2 linked regions of the Bombyx mori genome follow. The protein of the gene in region 1 interacts with the protein of each later gene in a pairwise test. Links are inferred from orthologs where the notes say so. Each region holds a gene or a part of one and is shown in the gene's direction. Other genes may lie near its edges.

What was found.
Region 2: the proteins of cleavage and polyadenylation specific factor 5 (region 1) and RpP1 interact in a two-hybrid assay, tested with the Homo sapiens proteins (2 studies listed by BioGRID and IntAct). The link is inferred for Bombyx mori from reciprocal best matches to the Homo sapiens genes NUDT21 and RPLP1.

Annotation. Positions count from the first base shown.
Region 1 is NC_085117.1:3,159,238-3,163,621, forward strand, and holds the start of cleavage and polyadenylation specific factor 5, read left to right. Parts: upstream 1-1,315; 5' UTR 1,316-1,412; coding exon 1,413-1,645; intron 1,646-2,279; coding exon 2,280-2,391; intron 2,392-2,864; coding exon 2,865-2,955; intron 2,956-3,104; coding exon 3,105-3,352; 3' UTR 3,353-4,384. Other genes in the region: uncharacterized protein LOC101742918, read right to left, coding at 265-433, 933-1,038. UniProt on the Homo sapiens protein: Component of the cleavage factor Im (CFIm) complex that functions as an activator of the pre-mRNA 3'-end cleavage and polyadenylation processing required for the maturation of pre-mRNA into functional mRNAs.
Region 2 is NC_085121.1:13,787,036-13,790,339, forward strand, and holds RpP1 (ribosomal protein P1), read left to right. Parts: upstream 1-1,359; 5' UTR 1,360-1,509; coding exon 1,510-1,581; intron 1,582-1,860; coding exon 1,861-2,196; 3' UTR 2,197-2,490; coding exon of another isoform or gene 2,491-2,504; 3' UTR 2,505-2,598; downstream 2,599-3,304. Other genes in the region: mRpS14 (mitochondrial 28S ribosomal protein S14), read right to left, coding at 2,821-2,923. UniProt on the Homo sapiens protein: Plays an important role in the elongation step of protein synthesis.

The DNA of each region.
Region 1 (4,384 bases):
AAAAAAAGATCCCTGCAAATGTTTTGGGGATTAACCATCATCCTTCATTGTCCTTCAATTAGACTAAGTGTTTGTTCCTTTTAAAACAATTAGAAAACTTACATTAAGTCAGATAACATTTTTAATATTTATATTGATTGGATTCACTAAGACTCCTTTTTATTAAATTACTGCAATTGAGCTAACCCCATTACTCTCATGGTTTCCACATTAATTTTATAATGAGAGCCAAACTATCACTAAAGTAAACTCACAAGCACTAACCGCAGCCCATCTAAAAATGTTTTTACATCATCTTGGCCCCATAAGCTTTTGGTTGCCGATCGGAGTCTTGCAAAGTGCCTGACGATAGCTCTGACCGCAGCAAACTTTTCTGCGTTCATTAGACTCGATAATCTCTCATCTTCTATTCCTTCTAATTCTTTAAGAGACACTGCAATTAGAATTATAAGATAAGCTAAGAAAAGCTAATTTAAATTGCTTAAGTTGCAAGATCTTTTTTAATTGCTACACAATCGCTCTAGTCCGTCTAAATAACATGAGTACATATTATATTAAGATATCGTGTGATACATAATTAGTTTAGCAATTTGTCTTAGACATTGGTCTAAGACAATTTTTTTTTTATATATCATATTTTTAAATTACTATACTTATGTGTGTAATCTTATTATTTAATTTAGTCCTTTTTATTTCAGGCTCAAGTTGCCAGATGTCGCTCTTCCAAACAATCCACTTGTTAAAAGTGTACAATGAAAATATAATGCTTAAGGAATCCATGGTATATTCACAGTTTCTAGTAATAATCTGGAGTTTAAGCATTCTTAACTATAATTTAATAATAATCTATTCTTATTTTTTCAACCTTCTTCTTTATTAGTACTTTTCTTTAAAATTGTCAATGGGTGCAATAAAAAAAAATGTGTACATACAAATTACGAATGGTCTTATTTCCTTTTTCTGTATTTCCGGTGTGACTTTCGAAACTGCAGACCATTGTGATATATTCTCTGATATGAATTCTAAATGCTCAGACATTTCTATGAATTATTCACAATAAAACTAAAAAAAACAAAACTAAATGCAATTGCACATTACTTCAAAACAAAAATTAGTTACTGTCAAAATTATTCAAACTGTCAAAGTTAAGGTTTGACTTGGACAAGTCTGTAAGAACTTTTTTAACGTAATCGACTAAAAGCTTAAATCGAGGCGAGTATTGGCCGATGTCGTTTTTGCCAAATCACAACTCGGAGTTACAACACACACCCGTGAACGTCACTAATTATAATTCTTAATAATTCTTATTATTAAATGGCCGAATACTGACGCTTGTTTGTCTTGGTAAAACAATTTTTAGTTGTGATCATCTCTGCATACGCGGTTTTGTTGAAAATAAGATCAAATATAAGATGGCAGCAGTTCAAGGGCCTCCCGGTAACAAACAGTGGCCTGCGCGACCAGGACTACAACATCAAATAAGCCAAAACCCAAGCATGAATTTAACTCTCAATAGGTCTATTAATTTGTATCCGCTTACGAATTACACGTTCGGAACTAAGGAGCCGCTGTTCGAGAAAGACGCGTCGGTCCCGGCGAGGTTCCAGAGGATGCGAGAGGAGTTTTGTAAAATCGGAATGAGAAGGTAAGGTTATGTTAGGAAAGCCGATGTATGAAACGACCCATTATGATTATAAAGAGTACCCACTATACATGTTTGCTTTATTCATTATGAAAATAATAAACATACATATCACTTTACTTACCTAACCATATTAGAACTTCATTAAATACAAAATCATACAGTTGATATCTTATTAGGCTTTTAAATAGCTCTCTCATATACTTAGCCAATCTAGGTCCACTAGTGAAAAGAATCGACAAAAAAATCAGGGCTTGTACTGTAAATATAGACTTAACACTACTAATGTGTGAAGTGTTGTAAATTATGGCAGGTAGATTACATGACTTAAACATGTATAGATGAAACAGTTTCCCTAAAACCTTTTTGCACGCTGGAAACTTGATATTATTACTCGATAACACAGTTTACATTTATGTTTACCTCTAGTATTGATATATAATAATAATAATAGCTGTGGACGAGCCACATTATAATCAAGCCCTTACCCACTTTCTTCAACTGAGTTTATCACATGACTAACCTACAATTAGGGGGGCTACCTATTGAGTGTTGATAACTCTGTTATGGTTCACTGTGGCTTCATCCAATTGCGTTAATGAGTTGTGAGTTTGATGGGATTTAATTACCGTTGCAGGTCAGTCGAAGGTGTGTTATTAGTACATGAACATGGTCTCCCTCATGTGCTGTTACTGCAACTCGGCACTGCGTTTTTCAAGTTGCCCGGTGGAGAATTGAATCCTGGAGAGGTATATCTAGATTAAGGGATTACCTTTATACTATAGAACTACAAATATAGAAGTCAGCCTAGATCCTCTTGTAGACAGAATAGCCTCTGCTTGCATCTTTAAAGCGCAATTTAACTGGGAATAATCATACGATAATATCAGATCCTTCTCAACTTGAGCAGCCTCTTTGGGGTTTGCAACTCAAGAGGCTGCCAACAAAGTTAAATATAGTCATCATTGTCGATAATTTTTGAGTATTATATCATATAGAGCAAAACAACAGAATATGCTACTCTAATAAGAGCTATGTCCCATTTTCTGTTGAGCAGTAATTGTATTCTCTAGTTTTTCAGTATTGTAATAATAATTATGGTTTGTAAAGAATCTAAATTATGTAGTTGTATGTTGAGTACCCATCAAAAGAGATGCACATTCAAGTGTTTCAGATGTTCCTAATAAAAACAATGCGAGACTACATTTTTTTAAAATTCCAGGATGAAATTGATGGTTTGAAGAGGCTTCTCACAGAGACTTTAGGCAGGCAAGACGGTGTCAAACAGGAATGGCTCATTGAAGACACAATAGGTTAGTGATGCTATAACAGTGCTTGAAAAACTGGTGAAAGCTTGAATTTTGACTATTTTTACGTTTTAGCAAAAAAAAAATTTTATGTTTTAAAAAAATGTAATAATATATGTAAACTTAATATATGTAAACTTTCTGTAAACTTACAGGAAACTGGTGGCGACCGAATTTCGAACCACCGCAATATCCATACATTCCGCCTCACATCACGAAACCAAAGGAGCATAAGCGCCTATTCCTGGTTCAACTGCAAGACAGAGCTCTGTTCGCTGTACCGAAGAATTACAAGCTGGTTGCGGCACCATTGTTTGAATTGTACGATAATGCTCAGGGATACGGACCTATAATATCGTCGTTGTCTCAGAGTTTATGTCGTTTTAATTTCATTTATATGTGATAAATGGTATTTAAAGTGAAGTTTGATGAAGAAAGTTTAAATGGAATGAGTTTCTGCAATACTTCTGCAGCTAGACCACAACGAAGCTCAGTGTTAGGCAACTATGGATATCACCTTCCATAATATGTTTACCTAAAAACATCCAATTATTGTTCCAAATCCATAGGACAATTTAGGCTTTCTTCATTATTGAACTTGTATAGATATATGCAAATGGACATTTTTTCTATAGTTTAAGATAAGGTTTTCTATATTTTTGTCAATAAAAGAAAATTGTCATGTTATATCTAAATAGTTATGTGCGACAGAAAATATCTGAAGTGAGTGTTGTTATTAAGAGATGCATAAGATGTTGCAGGGACCGGTATGGATCTTGAGATTTCCCAGAAGAGTCGTATTGTTTTATAACTTGGGGGACTTGGGACAATGTGTACAAAAGGGGTTCCTTAATTTTTTTGACAACTTCAATTTGACAATTTATTTGTTTTTTAACTGCAGTCATGATTTATATAACTTTGATTTGCTTTAAAAATACCTTCATACTTCAGTGTGTTTGAAGATCTTATGCCTTTAGAACTGCTAGCTCACAGATATTTGTTGAGGGATATGCAGAGAAGGGACTTCATTTAATGAACGAATTGTTGAGTTGTCACCATTCTCTCATTCCCAAACTTGGAGCATCAGAAAGAGATAAATTCACCAGCGTTCAGACCACACTCAGCATCCAAGATCCAAGCTGTTCTTTGTCCTCTTAAATTGACTCAGTTGCAGACTGCATACCAATCTGATTATTCGCAATTATGAATTAGGTCAGCTGTTATGATGCAATTTAGACCTTACAGCTCAAGAAATAAAACAGCAGTTTGATTTAATGCTAAATGGCACTGGAGCTAGTTTTGACATCAAGGCCACACGTCAAACTGACCATGACCTAATATGTAATTTCCGAATGCTGAACTTAGTCTAATTTAATGCCGATTCATTAAAATTTTAATTGAAAGTTAACTTGAAGAAACTTTGTAACTAATAATA
Region 2 (3,304 bases), on another chromosome or scaffold:
TAGACACGTCCTTACGGATCCATCGGATTCAATAACCTTTGCATTAGATTCAGCTCAAACACTAGGAGCAGGCTTAGTTACCCCGTTGGCGTGCTTGTCGAACTCAACAAAGAAGTCGACGTGCAACCTAACCCATGCATCAGCCCGCTGAATTTCTCGCCGGATCTTCTCAGCGGGTCACGGTCATAGATACATTCGCGAAGCAGTTGCTCTTGATTTTCTAGGTCTCCTTCGGGGGCGCTCGGGCAGCTGTTAGCAAATCCCACCCCTCCTGGCTGAGCCTTTGCTCGCCCAACTGTCCTAGTGAAAGTGGAAAGGCCTCCGGGCCACCAGTAATCTTTCAATCATAAAAAAAATTGGGCCTTATTATGGGTTCATCTACCAACAATGGCCCAAAACGGTGGTTGCGATCAGAACGCGATTTGGCTGTGCCCCTGGCATCGCTGACTTCTTAGAGCCAGGGAAACCATTCATCAGATGAGCCGCATGCCTGTTAGTTTACAATGACAATAAAAGATAATTTATTTTCATCTTGACTAAATTCTATTCCACATCGAAAGAACAAATCATATTAAACTAACTATATAACTTATAGACCAGTCCAATTTAGATTGAAATACATTAAAACTTTATTAGGTAGGTATATCTTATGCGTATAAAAAACCGAGGGGCCTAAATCAAATATTAAGAAGTGTGTTAATGTTCTTAAAAAGCGAATAAAATTTATTTTAACTTTAGTAAAATGATAACGGTTTCAAATATCATTTTAAACTAGACAAAATAACGCAGATAAAGTATTTAAAAACTCGATACACGATATATAAGCCTATGAATTTTTAACCTACATAAATTCGCTGACCCTCTATATTTTGTCCCAACACAAAGCTTTCATAGAATCCGAATAAAGTGTACACGGTACAACTGGAAGAGATTGATTGCATGCTATTCGTTTTTTTTTTGTGTTATTCCAATAGTTTTATTAACTGCTACATACATAAGTTTTATAAATAGTTTTAATGATTAAAGAACTTGGACTTTTTGGCAGGAACGCGAGGAGTGAAGTTGTGTGTTTTTTTTTATTTTGTCTATTTAGTGTTTCTTCAAGTTTAAATGTGTCAGGCTGTATGTCGGAGATTCAGTTAGTTTATTACAATATGCCGATAACTTGGTTATTTAAATGTCTGACATGTCTTTTCCTTCGTTTTTTATTATTCATAAAGTGTAAATAATTTAAACGGCGAATTATAAAAATCTTATTACTTGACACATGCATAACCGTGTCGGAGCCAAAAAAAGAAGAACAATCCTGGTCATTAAAAATTAGGTATGTATTTAAAAAATGACATTGACAAAATGAAATTATGACATTGACAATGTGACAGTGACAGCTCAGAAAACTGCTAATTCGAACATAACCTCCTTTCCTGTTTCTCTTTGTTGTCAGAACTCAAACGTGCTTGTTCTCTCTTGAGCTAAGGCCTACGGCAACTTGCACGTTCAAAACTAAAAATGGTGTCAAAAGCTGAATTAGCATGTGTTTACTCTGCTCTCATCCTGGTTGATGATGATGTTGCCGTAACTGTAAGTAATCTTAATATTTGTAATTTTAATATTTTAAGGTTATTGAAGAATGTTTGTGTGACTAAATCCACGAACATCACACAAAATAGCTACAAAATCAGAACAACCAAGCATTTGTTTAGCATAGTAAACGTCTATTTTGTTAAAAATTCTGTATATTTTCCATTAATCTTAACTATTCATTTGGCGCCATATCTTTCGTATACTTACTTGTAGTTTTTTTTTCTAAAGTAAATATTTTTATGTTTTTGGAATCTAATGACAGTTTTATTGAAATAGGGTGAGAAAATTTCCACCATCTTGAAAGCGGCGGCTGTAGATGTAGAGCCATATTGGCCAGGTCTGTTCGCCAAAGCCTTGGAAGGCATCAATGTCCGTGACCTGATCACCAACATCGGCTCTGGAGTGGGTGCTGCTCCGGCCGCTGGTGGAGTGCCAGCCGCTGCTGCTGCAGCCGGCGCTCCGGCCGAGGAGAAGAAGGAAGAAAAGAAAGAGGAGGAACCCGAGGAGTCCGACGATGACATGGGCTTCGGTAAGCAATCCATACATATACATGCGATATTCAAAGTTTATTTTTGTTCAGATTTAAGTAGTAATTTATATTTTTATTTTTAAAGTTTTTTTTCCTGGGTAAAACATCTTTAATCTATTAAAACAAAAGTCTATAAAATGAATAACAGTTTCTAGTAAACAAATAAAAGGAGTACTTAATTAGAATGATTTGTTGAAAGATTATTCTAATAACAAAGACAAATTTTATCATAATATGTAAACTTCAATGATGTTTGATCATGTATTAGCTACTGAATCTTTTGATTGAAAATTTTTTACTGAGTATGTGGAGAATTGTTTAGGTCTTAATATTTGTAGTTAACATGTTCATCAATTTAATGTTATTTTCTGTTTCAGGTCTCTTTGACTAAGAAGCTTTATGAAGAAATAAAAATATTCCATTTTGTCTATTGTAAAGCTTTTATGTTATAAGAAACTGACTTTATTAAAATAAGTTAAATAAAACCATTGTCTTTTTCCCTTTTTCTATAATGGCATACGTTTACATGAATAGCAGTGTAGGACTAGTGTTGCCTATGAGCTTGCCTACACATTTAGTGAAATTAGCATAACCAGATTAGCCAATATATAGGTGATTGAACTGTAGAGATATTTGTAAGAAATAAAGAAATTTCATTTAATATTTAATTTAATAACATTACTACTATCATAGAATAAATTAGATTTTCAGCCCCACATAGCCCTCTGTACTCCTGAGAGTTTGTTGTAATCCGCTAGATGCCTCCAGACTATACGACTCATGCGCCATTCCTTTACTATACCTCTGGGTCTGAAATCAATTTCATATTAAACTTTTATTGCTCAGATTGGTGGACGAGCTCACAGGCCATCTGGTGTTAAGTGGTTACTGGAGCCCATAGACATCTACAATGTGAATGCAACACCCAGTTTGAGATATAAGTTCTAAGGTCTCAGTATAGTTACAATGGCTGTCCCACCCTTCAAACGGAAACACATTACTGCTTCACGGCAGAAATAGGCAGGGTGGTGGTACCTACCTGTGCAGACTCACAAGACGTACCACTAACTATCTTACATAATCAGTTAAGTCAGATGAAAGGAAAATTTTAAGTATATCTTGTAGGTATTTCAGTATTGAAGTAGTTACAGTTTAGTTTCAGAAACAGTTCAGTCAGACCCGCCACTGGTA